4 linked regions of the Saccharomyces cerevisiae S288C genome follow. The main gene of each other region encodes a partner of the protein of the gene in region 2 in a complex. Each region holds a gene or a part of one and is shown on either strand. Other genes may lie near its edges.

The links.
Region 1: MRPL40 (region 2) and MRPL20 share a complex: the UniProt entries of both Saccharomyces cerevisiae proteins name them as parts of the mitochondrial large ribosomal subunit.
Region 3: MRPL40 (region 2) and MRPL33 share a complex: the UniProt entries of both Saccharomyces cerevisiae proteins name them as parts of the mitochondrial large ribosomal subunit.
Region 4: MRPL40 (region 2) and MRPL6 share a complex: the UniProt entries of both Saccharomyces cerevisiae proteins name them as parts of the mitochondrial large ribosomal subunit.

What each region holds. Positions count from the first base shown.
Region 1 is NC_001143.9:598,492-601,549, forward strand, and holds MRPL20 (mitochondrial 54S ribosomal protein mL58 MRPL20), read right to left. Parts: upstream 1,191-3,058; coding exon 603-1,190; downstream 1-602. Other genes in the region: ribosome dissociation factor GTPase HBS1, read right to left, coding at 1-399; DEAH-box RNA helicase PRP16, read left to right, coding at 1,366-3,058. UniProt on the Saccharomyces cerevisiae protein: Component of the mitochondrial ribosome (mitoribosome), a dedicated translation machinery responsible for the synthesis of mitochondrial genome-encoded proteins, including at least some of the essential transmembrane subunits of the mitochondrial respiratory chain.
Region 2 is NC_001148.4:221,348-224,536, forward strand, and holds MRPL40 (mitochondrial 54S ribosomal protein uL24m MRPL40), read left to right. Parts: upstream 1-1,795; coding exon 1,796-2,689; downstream 2,690-3,189. Other genes in the region: NIP100 (Nip100p), read right to left, coding at 1-1,426; COX10 (protoheme IX farnesyltransferase), read right to left, coding at 3,006-3,189. UniProt on the Saccharomyces cerevisiae protein: Component of the mitochondrial ribosome (mitoribosome), a dedicated translation machinery responsible for the synthesis of mitochondrial genome-encoded proteins, including at least some of the essential transmembrane subunits of the mitochondrial respiratory chain.
Region 3 is NC_001145.3:840,429-842,805, forward strand, and holds MRPL33 (mitochondrial 54S ribosomal protein uL30m MRPL33), read left to right. Parts: upstream 1-1,513; coding exon 1,514-1,774; downstream 1,775-2,377. Other genes in the region: NGL2 (RNA exonuclease), read right to left, coding at 1-1,263; DSS1 (exoribonuclease II), read right to left, coding at 2,008-2,377. UniProt on the Saccharomyces cerevisiae protein: Component of the mitochondrial ribosome (mitoribosome), a dedicated translation machinery responsible for the synthesis of mitochondrial genome-encoded proteins, including at least some of the essential transmembrane subunits of the mitochondrial respiratory chain.
Region 4 is NC_001140.6:392,139-394,927, reverse strand, and holds MRPL6 (mitochondrial 54S ribosomal protein uL6m MRPL6), read left to right. Parts: upstream 1-1,644; coding exon 1,645-2,289; downstream 2,290-2,789. Other genes in the region: SKG6 (Skg6p), read left to right, coding at 1-473; snoRNA-binding rRNA-processing protein IMP3, read right to left, coding at 843-1,394. UniProt on the Saccharomyces cerevisiae protein: Component of the mitochondrial ribosome (mitoribosome), a dedicated translation machinery responsible for the synthesis of mitochondrial genome-encoded proteins, including at least some of the essential transmembrane subunits of the mitochondrial respiratory chain.

The sequences.
Region 1 (3,058 bases), on a different chromosome or scaffold from region 2:
GGCTTCCTCACCATTGCGTTCACCCTCACTTTCTTCCTCGTCAAGCCAGTCTGGAAGCCGATCATTTGGCCTTTGTTGCGAAATTGAGATGTTTGCCAGTTTTTGAGTAACATTCGCACTCCCATTAGCAGCAGCAATTGGCTTCTTTGGTGTCTTCTTCTTCTTCAAAGTTTTCTTCAATTCCGCCAGCGTGCTTTCCAAATCGAAATTGTTGTCAAACAAAGCTAGCTTAAGTGAAAGATTATCCCAGCCTTGGTAATCCTGTAACTGCGCCTTTAGAGTAGGAAATACCTCGTTCATTAGATCATATTCATCGTCATTCAAATAATCATCAAATTCACCTTCGTCGTGAAAGTCCGGCATGTCGTCTGCTCCATCGCTGTAGTCACTGTAAGCCATCTCGATAGTCAATAGTTGTCGAAGCAGAAGCCTTTGGGTGTCTCCAAGCTGTACTTAACTCTTTTTAAATTGCTTATTGGTTAGCTTTCATGTGGTATATTCAAGTCACATTAATGGGCGTCTCCGTGCATTGTGATCAATATATGAATACGAAGTACTTATAGAGTAGTATTTACACGATTGTTATTATATTTATATAGCATTCACGCCTGGTACCACAGGAGTTTTCTACGCTTACGGTCCTCTCTGGCTATACGCCTCTTCTCCTTCCAGCGTGATTGGATTTCTTGCAATCTACTTTCCATAATTTGTACATGTTGTTCACTAGGTTTCGAGACCATGGATACAAATAATGGCGAAATGCCATATTTTGCAGCCAAAAATTTGCGTGTATACTTTTGAGGATTGTCAAGACGTAACTTCCGGATCTCATCAATTTCTTGAGGTCCCAGATGATAGGTTTTGCCGTTCACTGTGCTCTTACCTACGAGAACATTTGGACACTGCTTCGCTTTAGTGCTTTGAACAGGCATGTCAAGCCCTCTACGAGGGTCACTGGCTGCCATAAAGCTACGTGGAATGGTCTCACTGTTAACAGATCCGGTTGCGATGGATTCTGATGGTTGATAGTACATTCCTGGAGCATCTCTGTGCTTTAAATACCCTTTATAGTTAGATGCGCTCTTAGTCTTGTTGTAAATCGTTGTCACTTGTGTTTTGGGAAATCCAAATTGCTTCCAGGCAGATCCAGCAGTGTGGAACGATCTGCAGCACACACCTCTGCCAATCATTCTTGTGCTATTTTACTTTGTCTTTAATTTTCCATTTTAACTTGTTGAAAGTATCTCTTTTTGCCCTCTTTTCTATTTTCTCAAATAATAAAAGCGGTGAAAGCTGAAAAATTCATGAGATGACTGCAGATGATAAAACACAAGAAGGCCCAAAGACAATACAAATACCTCTGGTATGGGTCATTCGGGGCGTGAGGAAAGGATAAAAGACATATTTAAGGAACTTACGTCAAAAGAACTAACGCCTGGGTTGCTTTTGACACTGCAGAAACTAGCGCAAAAGCCGAATACTAATCTAGAACAGTTTATTGCCAGCTGTAAAGCTTTGACGAAACTCAGCAGTAACAATCCAATCATTTTTAATGAACTTCTGGAGCTCCTCAAGAATAAATCTGAAGAGGACTCGACAGGCCCAAAGAAAATCGCCCCTTCTATAAATAAGAGAAAGAAATTTAAGATCCAGTTAGACCTTGACGATAATGAAGATGAGCTAGATTCTCCAGTTCAAAAAAAACCAGCACCTACACGGACGTTGTTCAAGAGAATAGATAAACTAAAGGCCAAACAGTTGAGGCAGTATTCGCCCACCGTGAAGGATCCTTCTCCAAATAGTGAACAGCAAACACAGAATGGTCATGCTGAAACGAAGGACTATGAACCGACTCGAAGCGAAGTAGTTGAGGAGGACAGAGAATGGTATGATAATGATGATGATTATGGAAATTTGGTGCCTGAACCTCTGTCTGAATTGCCTGAGGAAGCGAAACTACTACCTGTCATTAGGAATATCGACAACGATGATGCCTTACGAAATACCGTTCAATTATACCCCATACCACTCAAGCAAAGAATGGAATGGATCCCTCCTTTTTTATCAAAGTTTGCTCTTGAAAACAAAGTGCCCACTTCCATAATTATCGGGTCCATCTCTGAGACGTCCAGCCAAGTATCCGCTTTATCAATGGTGAATCCATTTAGGAATCCTGACAGTGAATTTTCTGCGAACGCCAAACGAGGTAGTAAGCTGGTTGCCTTGAGAAGGATAAACATGGAACATATTCAACAATCTCGAGACAACACCACTGTTTTGAACACTGCCATGGGGGAAGTACTAGGCTTGGAGAATAACAATAAAGCAAAAGATAAGAGCAACCAAAAGATTTGCGACGATACAGCTCTTTTCACGCCATCAAAAGATGACATTAAACATACTAAAGAGCAACTGCCTGTTTTCCGCTGCAGATCTCAATTGTTATCATTGATAAGAGAAAATCAAGTAGTGGTGATAATTGGTGAAACGGGCTCAGGTAAAACCACGCAACTTGCACAGTATTTATATGAAGAAGGATATGCCAACGATAGGGGGAAATCTATTGTTGTCACACAGCCGAGAAGAGTAGCAGCCATATCCGTTGCAAAAAGGGTTGCAATGGAAATGCAAGTTCCATTGGGTAAGGAAGTAGGCTATTCTATAAGGTTTGAAGATGTGACGGATTCTGAGTGTACAAAACTTAAGTTTGTAACGGATGGTATTCTACTCAGAGAGACCTTATTGGATGATACACTCGATAAATATTCGTGTGTTATTATTGATGAAGCTCATGAAAGGTCATTAAATACAGACATTTTACTAGGTTTTTTCAAGATTTTATTAGCACGTAGAAGAGATCTAAAACTCATAATCACTTCAGCAACAATGAATGCGAAGAAGTTCTCCGCATTTTTTGGTAATGCTCCTCAGTTCACAATTCCTGGAAGAACTTTCCCCGTACAGACCATATATACTTCCAACCCTGTTCAAGACTACGTAGAAGCTGCAGTTTCTCAGGCTGTGAAAATTCATTTAGCAAACGATTGTTCAAGCGGTG
Region 2 (3,189 bases):
AAAACTTCCTTTGCAAAAACTCGCTTAGCCACATCGAAATCGGAGCAATATTTACTTTGAAACATTGTAATGTCGTTTCCAGGTGATCGGGAGTATTCTTTATGGTGTAAATATGAAGCGCATAACTGATAGAGCTCAACACTTTTAGAATTATATGGATTTCAATATTCTCCAACTTTCCAAAATTTTCACTTTCGATTACTTCGGCTAAATATTGCAATTGAGAGGAAAGAGCCGCCAAATGTGGTTGTGCAAATGGCTCATATATTTGGTAAAATTTCTTTAGCAATTTATTTTGATATAATTCCTCCTGTAAAGTGTTCACTTTTAGTTCAAGACTTTGAAATTTGTGAGATGTTTTGGCTTCAATAGATTCCAATGTTGCTTTTAATCTTGAATTTTCTTCGATATATGTGCCTGCTATCTCCTTTTCATTTTCCAATGCAGATTGCAAATTACTTAATTGCAGTCTCAGTTCTTGCTCGAGTTGCTCATAGGTAATTCTTAAATTTTCATCCAATTTTTCTTTTGCCTGTAGTTCCTCCAACTCATTGTTTAAAGCCTTTATATTACTTGTGAGTAGGATATTATCATTAGTCAATTTATCAACAATATTAGATGATTTACTTTGAGCTTCAATCTGCAAGGCAAGGTCGCCGATTGTATTATTAGTCTGTTGCAATTGCAGACCTAAATCCGATATTTTTTTAGATAATACTGCATTTTCTTCTAATAACTGAGTATTCTCCTCGAGCAGGTCCTCTTGCACCTTCATAGCTTTATCATATGACAACTTTGTTTGGTCGAGTAGTCCCTGAAGAAGATGGCTCCTTTCTAACAGTGTGCCTTTGTCGAGATCCGGTGCCATTACACTATCTGAAGCATCTAATAGGTGATTGAAATTATCCAAATGAGTTTTCATATTACCATTTTCCACTTTCAGTTCTTTGACTAGTTTATCCAATCTTGAGATTTTAGACAATAGAACAGTTTCATTAGTACTCAGCTTTTCAACGGAAGTTTTCAGCTCATGATTTTCTATTTTAATTTTATTTAATTTGGACGCCAATGATTCACATTTTACTTGTAGATTCTTAATTGTTTCTTGCGCTGCATTACCATTTAGCAAACTATGCTCATCGTCATCTGGTTTATAAAACTGCAACGTATCTTTCTTGCAGAAAAGACCATAATAACCACCATTTGAATTAGCTTTCTTCAGGTCGATATCAAAGTAACGAATACCGTTAGCGCTTCCATCATTCTTTCCTAACGGTTTATCTAGTTCAATGCCGTACCATATGCCTTTTGCAAATTGAGTTTCCCCAATGAATTTCACCCGCCCCTTCATCTCGTTGACTAGAACTGTGTCCTGTAAGCTTATCTTCTGCATATTTGTGTCAACTTGAACACCTGCATTGCGCATTTGTCCAAGGCTGTACTGCGAGGTTGATGGAGATCGAATCTAGAATAGTATTATGTACTTTGCAAAAGTAAAGTACAACATAAAGTCTAGCAGCATATGAGTAACTCTCTACAGTTACGCCAACAATCTCAGTGTGGAGGTTAGAGTAAAAAGAAAGCACCTTACAACTGTACGTTTACATAAGTGACTTTTCAACATATATGCATTTTTTGTTAAGCATTGTAAAATACCCGGTTGAAAAGCGACATGAAAAATAACGACATGTTAGATTCAAAAGTACCTACTGCTCTTTAACAGCTACTTAAGGATTACCTGATAAGAGTAATCCACCGTAAAGAACATTATCAGCAACAAAATTTGTAATCCATCATGTCTGGAAGCTATCAACATTTATCAAACGTTGGATCGCGTGTTATGAAAAGATTGGGGAATCGACCCAAAAACTTTCTTCCTCATAGTGAAAAGTTCATTAAAAAATCTACGCCTGAGTTCATGAAGTCAGATTTAAAGGAAGTAGATGAGAAAACTAGTTTCAAGAGTGAAAAAGAATGGAAGTTTATACCTGGCGACAGAGTAGTAGTAATGAGCGGGGCTTCCAAAGGAAATATAGCTGTAATTAAATCTTTCGATAAAAGAACAAATTCATTCATATTAGATGAGAATGGGCCCACAAAGACTGTTCCAGTTCCTAAACAATTCTGGCTTGAAGGCCAAACATCTCACATGATAACAATTCCAGTTTCAATTTTGGGAAAGGATTTAAGGCTAGTTGCTGATATTGACGATGAAAAGACCCCAGGAAAGACAAGAACGGTGGCAGTAAGGGATGTTTCCTTCAATGGTTCCTACTATGATGCAGACTACAAAAAGGTAATGCCATATAGATGCGTAAAGGGTCAACCAGACTTGATCATTCCATGGCCTAAACCAGACCCAATTGATGTGCAAACGAACTTGGCTACCGATCCTGTAATTGCTAGAGAACAAACATTTTGGGTCGATTCCGTAGTGAGAAACCCTATTCCAAAAAAGGCAATACCAAGTATTCGCAATCCTCATTCTAAGTACAAAAGGGGTACCTTGACAGCGAAAGATATAGCTAAGCTAGTAGCACCTGAGATGCCCCTAACAGAGGTAAGAAAAAGCCATTTGGCAGAAAAAAAGGAGTTGGCTGAGAGAGAAGTACCAAAACTAACTGAAGAGGACATGGAAGCTATTGGGGCGAGGGTTTTTGAATTTTTGGAAAAACAAAAAAGAGAATAAATGTACCAAGTGTATGCACTCTATTTTTATATTTGATTCTCTAGTGTGATTTTTTTAATCAGTATATCCCCTTCACTATTCACGTAGTAAATAAGTTATATTCGACCTGTATATATGAAAGCATAAAGTAAAGTTCAAAGAATATTCAGATATTGATGTGGGCAAACGTGATGACTTCAAATTACAAAATCTTTTCTTTAAAAATAAATTATGTGCGTATGTACATTATTTTTAACCAATAAAAGGGTTTAAATATTTATTTACAAGATTAATGACTGCCCTTTAAGCGTTGTCTCTTTATCTCATTGTACTAATGCTAAAATCGTTCCTGTGGTCGCTTTGCTTCACCAGGATATATCCAATCCCAGCGGCCTTTTTTATGTATAATGGCTAGGATTAGAATTGCCGGTAGGTGCAATACACTAGCCATAAAAGTTTTCCTTGCATAAATGTTGGCTACACTTAGACCTTTATTAAACTTGACGTTATCTTTTAATGTT
Region 3 (2,377 bases), on a different chromosome or scaffold from region 2:
TTCTGGATGAACATTCTTATACCCAACAGAGTATAGTGAAATAGCCCTCATATCCAATGAGTTATGGAGTTGTGCCATTTTATCTACGAGTTCAGACTGTTCTTCATTAGCATGAAATTTTTCAGGAACGGGGCTCTCAGGTTGATCTTTACCATATTTTTCAATATTCCCGCCTTCTTCGTCATCTGCACCTTCTTCGCCATCACGGACCTTGGAAAACTTATATGAAGTGCTGCACCCAATGACGGTCTTTGCCCTGTTTCTATAGTGCACTGGTTTGGATGTCATAGATAAATATGGTGTGTCGAACGGCTGGGAATTAAAATCACCACAGAAAAAAGGAAACCAATGAGATAAATCCCCATCATTTTCGTTCTGTAAAACATTCACACGATGCATGAATTCCTTCATCTTTTTTAAAACAATATAGCATTGTCTTGTTCGTTCATAAGTACCAAATGGATGCCAAAATAGATGCGTAGTGCCGATCAAGATACCGCATTTTTTAGACGATTTTTTACCCAAATTCGACAGTACTTTCTCAGAAAACTTCAAGGCTAAGACTAATCCCACGTTGTTTGTCGTTGTTCTAGTGGAAATGCTTTCTGAACTTTCTTTATCATAGTCGATTAGCATTTTGTCAACCTGGTGAAATAATTCTCTCCTCCACATTATCGCGACACCATGGTTTTTTGTAGCATTTCTATAATATTGTCCATCGTATCCCAATTTACTGAATTCATCTTTCCAAAAGCTTTGAAACTGAATATGATCAATCTCTTGCAAACAAATGACATCGGAATTATAATATTTAAACTCGTTTAAGAGAACTTTAGAACGCCTGTACCATTTTAAAGCGTCACCACTATCCGGGAACAGCTTTCTGCGGATTAGAGCTTGCGCCAAGCAATTATAAGTCATTAGCTTGAATCTAAATCCAGTTACTGGCTCTGCCTCATGTAGAGATAGGAAAGGTCTTCTGATAAAATGCAGCTCTGGCGGGCAGTCCGGATCAACACCTTGAGCCAACATTGCATCTCTTTTAGCCTTTCTCATAACTTCCCTTTCGGCACGAACCTTAGCGATATGTTCTGGGGTCACTATGGGCTTCGATTTTTTACCTTTCTTGCCCTTCTTTTTATGTTGAAGTAACGAATCATCATTGGTTTGATGTTTTGCATCTTTTACAGATTTATTAATTTCTACTTCTTGGTCGGGCGCAACATCTGGGGCAACCACTTTGACTTCTTTGTCTTGTGTCATATTTACTTAATACTCTTAACTACAATTAAGAAGCTATAAGGAGACTACAATCTCATCTTCTTGCAACACTACTTTTCCTTTCCTCTTGCTTTAGTGCAACCATTTTTTGAAAAATGAATGGTCTTTCTGCACGAAATATCTCTCGAAGAGCTTTTCTAGATATTAAGGATAAAGTATATCATCCCAAAAGTTAGGTGATGGAATCAATATTGATGGACCAGCTAAAACACGTTGAAAGCAGATATCAGGAATGGTGTTTTACAAAGTCACGTTGAGTAGGTCGCTTATCGGTGTGCCACACACAACGAAGAGCATTGTCAAAAGTTTGGGTTTAGGTAAAAGAGGGTCCATAGTCTACAAAAAAGTAAACCCGGCCATAGCTGGCTCCCTAGCTAAAGTAAAAGAGTTAGTCAAAGTAGAAGTAACAGAACATGAATTAACACCATCGCAGCAACGAGAGTTGAGAAAGTCAAACCCTGGGTTTATAGTGGAGAAGAGAACCATCGACTGAAACAGCGAAAATAAGGCAACTGGATTTCCTTTCTTCTTGATATTCCTGACTTATATATGTATATAGTATTATTTTTTCCTGCATAGGCACATATGTTAATAGTAATTTATGCAATTTTTGATACAAAGAAATCAATACACTATCTCGATTTCATATTTTATGTATGTATATATTTACAAGAAGAAAATTATGCATGGTCTATTGAATTTTATATTTGGAAAAAGAGTCCCTTTTTATAGCTTTTCCAACTCTAACATTCCTTCTAAACAGTCAATTTTTGAAATTTTACAATTCTTCACGATATCTCCAATCATCGGATAATGCATAGAACTTGGATGCAATTTTAATGTTCCTCTAGCGAACGATAAGTCTGGAAAAACACATCCAGTAAATCCGTTCTGCGGTACTGATGTTACCATTACATCGAAAGTCCTTTCTGGCTCTAGTTTGGTTAGCTTTTTTAAATAATTCAGTGTCCAGTACGTCGACGAATTACGGCTAGCCCTTTTTAAAATATCCGCTCGAGATTGAATTGGCCAGATCAAACTGTCGATTTGTGTTTGATTAAAACATAGAGGCTTTTTCTGCAAATGACGGTGAATT
Region 4 (2,789 bases), on a different chromosome or scaffold from region 2:
ACAAGCAACAACTTCTTCAATTACAGACTGCCAGACTAAACGGAACTGCGTTAAATCCGGTCGATCATCCGGAAATGTTTTATTCACCGACAAACGATGCCTATTATGCTCCACAGCAGCAAGGCCAATATATGAAGTTTAACGAAAATGGGGCGGTTCCTTCACCTTATCAACTTAGACAAAGTGTGGTAATGACCAATCCTTCGGATTTGACGGCAAAACCATCTTATAAGCCAGCAGGTTCTTTCAGAAGTGTAAGCGCAACCAATTCAAGAAATAACAGTCTGACCACACAAAATAATATCTATCTGCAACAGCAGCAGCAGCAACTGTATAATTCTCGTGTTAGTGGGATATTAGAAGAGACAGATGTTGTACAGCCACCAAGTGTTGGTGGAATTTTGCCACATAGTGGTTCACAGGACGATTTAAGAAAACAATTAGGCTCTTCACATAATTATACCGTCAACTGAAGTGTAGATAATGAACGGACAATTATCGGATATATAAATTGATGTTTTATTGGAGAAATTTTACAAATTGCGTATTTATACAAATTAATTTATGTTAAATAGGATTTTTTCGAAGTGTATTTTTAAGTTTTAAGGCATATTTAACAAATGACGCCGATGAGAAATTGTTTTGCGGTTTTTCTTATTTTTGCATACGACGAAGAAGTTCCTTTGTGTATATAACAATTTTTCATGCTTCCAGCTTTTAAGAAAGCTCAGGCGCCTCACATCATTTGTATTTGCTGCCTCGTTGCCTATTCGTAATAATTTCACAATGTAGGAAGATGATAAATCGAGTATTGATACAGAAAACGTAAGTTTGTAGTCAATTTATGAAAAATCAAAATCGTCGATTTGGTTTCTGTATCTCAACAAGGTTTTCTTGATCTTAGAGTTGTCCACCCAAGTAACGTAGTCCTCCATATTTCTCGTTACGAGGTAGGCTGGATCGTTGATCAAATTTGGACCCACGCGAACATGCCCTTGTTCAATGAACTTGACTGCATCTTGTATAGTTTCCGCCATTTTTAATCTATGCATTATTACAGGTAATCGCCTCCTACAGATGGCACTAACAGTAACTTTATTTTCCAGATCAGAAATCTTTGATTTAGTTGTCAGGACACCCATAGCGTATAGCTTGTCCAGTAATAATTGCTCATGTTTGCGACGAAATGGATCAGTGGGAGGTAATAATGATAATTTATTGGCAAGACGACGAATATCACCGCATATCCTATTGTATTTATGATAATCTTCACGATTCTGAATATGATATGTTCTCATGACCTGAGTGTCCCGGTGGCCTTGGTCCTGCTTCCATTCAAGGAAGTCTACTTTTTTCAATAACTTTTGCTCATGATGCTTTAGTTTTCTAACCATTATTGGTTGTGATTATGCCTGGTGGTTTATCTATTTAGAACGTTCTATATTACTTATCCCATTGAATTTTTGTTGCGATGAGCTTATATCAGTGAAATTTTTTTCACTGGAAGTAGAGGGTAATGAAAGGCGAGCGGAAATAGCGAGGAGACGCTACGGTTATAGAGGAAGAATATCAAATACTAGTAAGTAAGGGAAGATCACGCAATAAAGCTATCGCAAATCTTACTATAGGAATTGAGGCCAACCTATGTCATTTATTCAGAGGAGGTTATTGTCGCAAACACTTTTTCTGCGCTCTCAAGTGGGGTCTTTACCACTTTATATATCTCCTGAAGTTCAGGTTTCCATAAATGCATTATCCATGCCCAGGATTATCAGAAAAGGTAGAACTTCAATGAATATATCACAGAATATCACAGTAAAGGGACCCAAGGGTGAATTGTCCGTGGAGGTCCCTGATTTTTTGCACTTGGACAAGGATGAAAAGCACGGTAAAATAAATGTTACAGTTCAGAATTCAGAAGATAAACATCAACGTTCGATGTGGGGTACAGTAAGATCACTTATAAATAATCACATTATAGGTGTTACTGAGGGGCATCTTGCTGTCCTTAGATTTGTAGGGACAGGTTATAGAGCTCAATTAGAAAATGATGGTAAATTTGTCAACGTTAAGGTGGGTGCATCTATCAAACAAGGATTGGACGTTCCTGAAGGTATTGTTGTCAAAACACCTGCTCCCACGTCTCTGATTATTGAAGGGTGCAATAAGCAGCAGGTCCTTCTTTTTGCTGCCAAATTGAGAAAATTCCATCCACCAGAGCCGTATAAAGGCAAAGGAATATACGTTAACGATGAAACAATAAAGCTAAAGGACAAGAAAATCAAATAACTTCAGGATTTCAGTTATTTTCGTACTCATTTTCGTAATTTTTTTTATGACATGTATCTTTTCTTATACTTTATAGGGAATACCTTGTAAATATCCTATGAAAATAACTTAAATGAAATTTATATTGGTTATTAATGCGGTGACGTGTTCTTGCTTGGTAAACATTTTGGTGTTCAATGAAACTCTTGGCTTGCAACCTTTAATATATACTAGTTTCACGGAATATGAACGCAATAAGTAAGGCCACAGAAGTTCGAACCTTACCTTTCATTTTATACAGTTTCGAAAAGGGAACACCATTTAGACTAGAAACCAAATATCCTCTTTAACGTTCTGCTAATGCTATATATTTTTTGATTCCAACGCTAATAAAGATTTTTTTTCTTGAGTACTTTTCATGTTTTGTTGTAGAGAGCCCATTTAAAACAAAGATGTTTACCAGAAAACAAAAGAAAAGATCAAATAAGTGAGTAAATGAAATGCTGTACCTTCCAATTTCT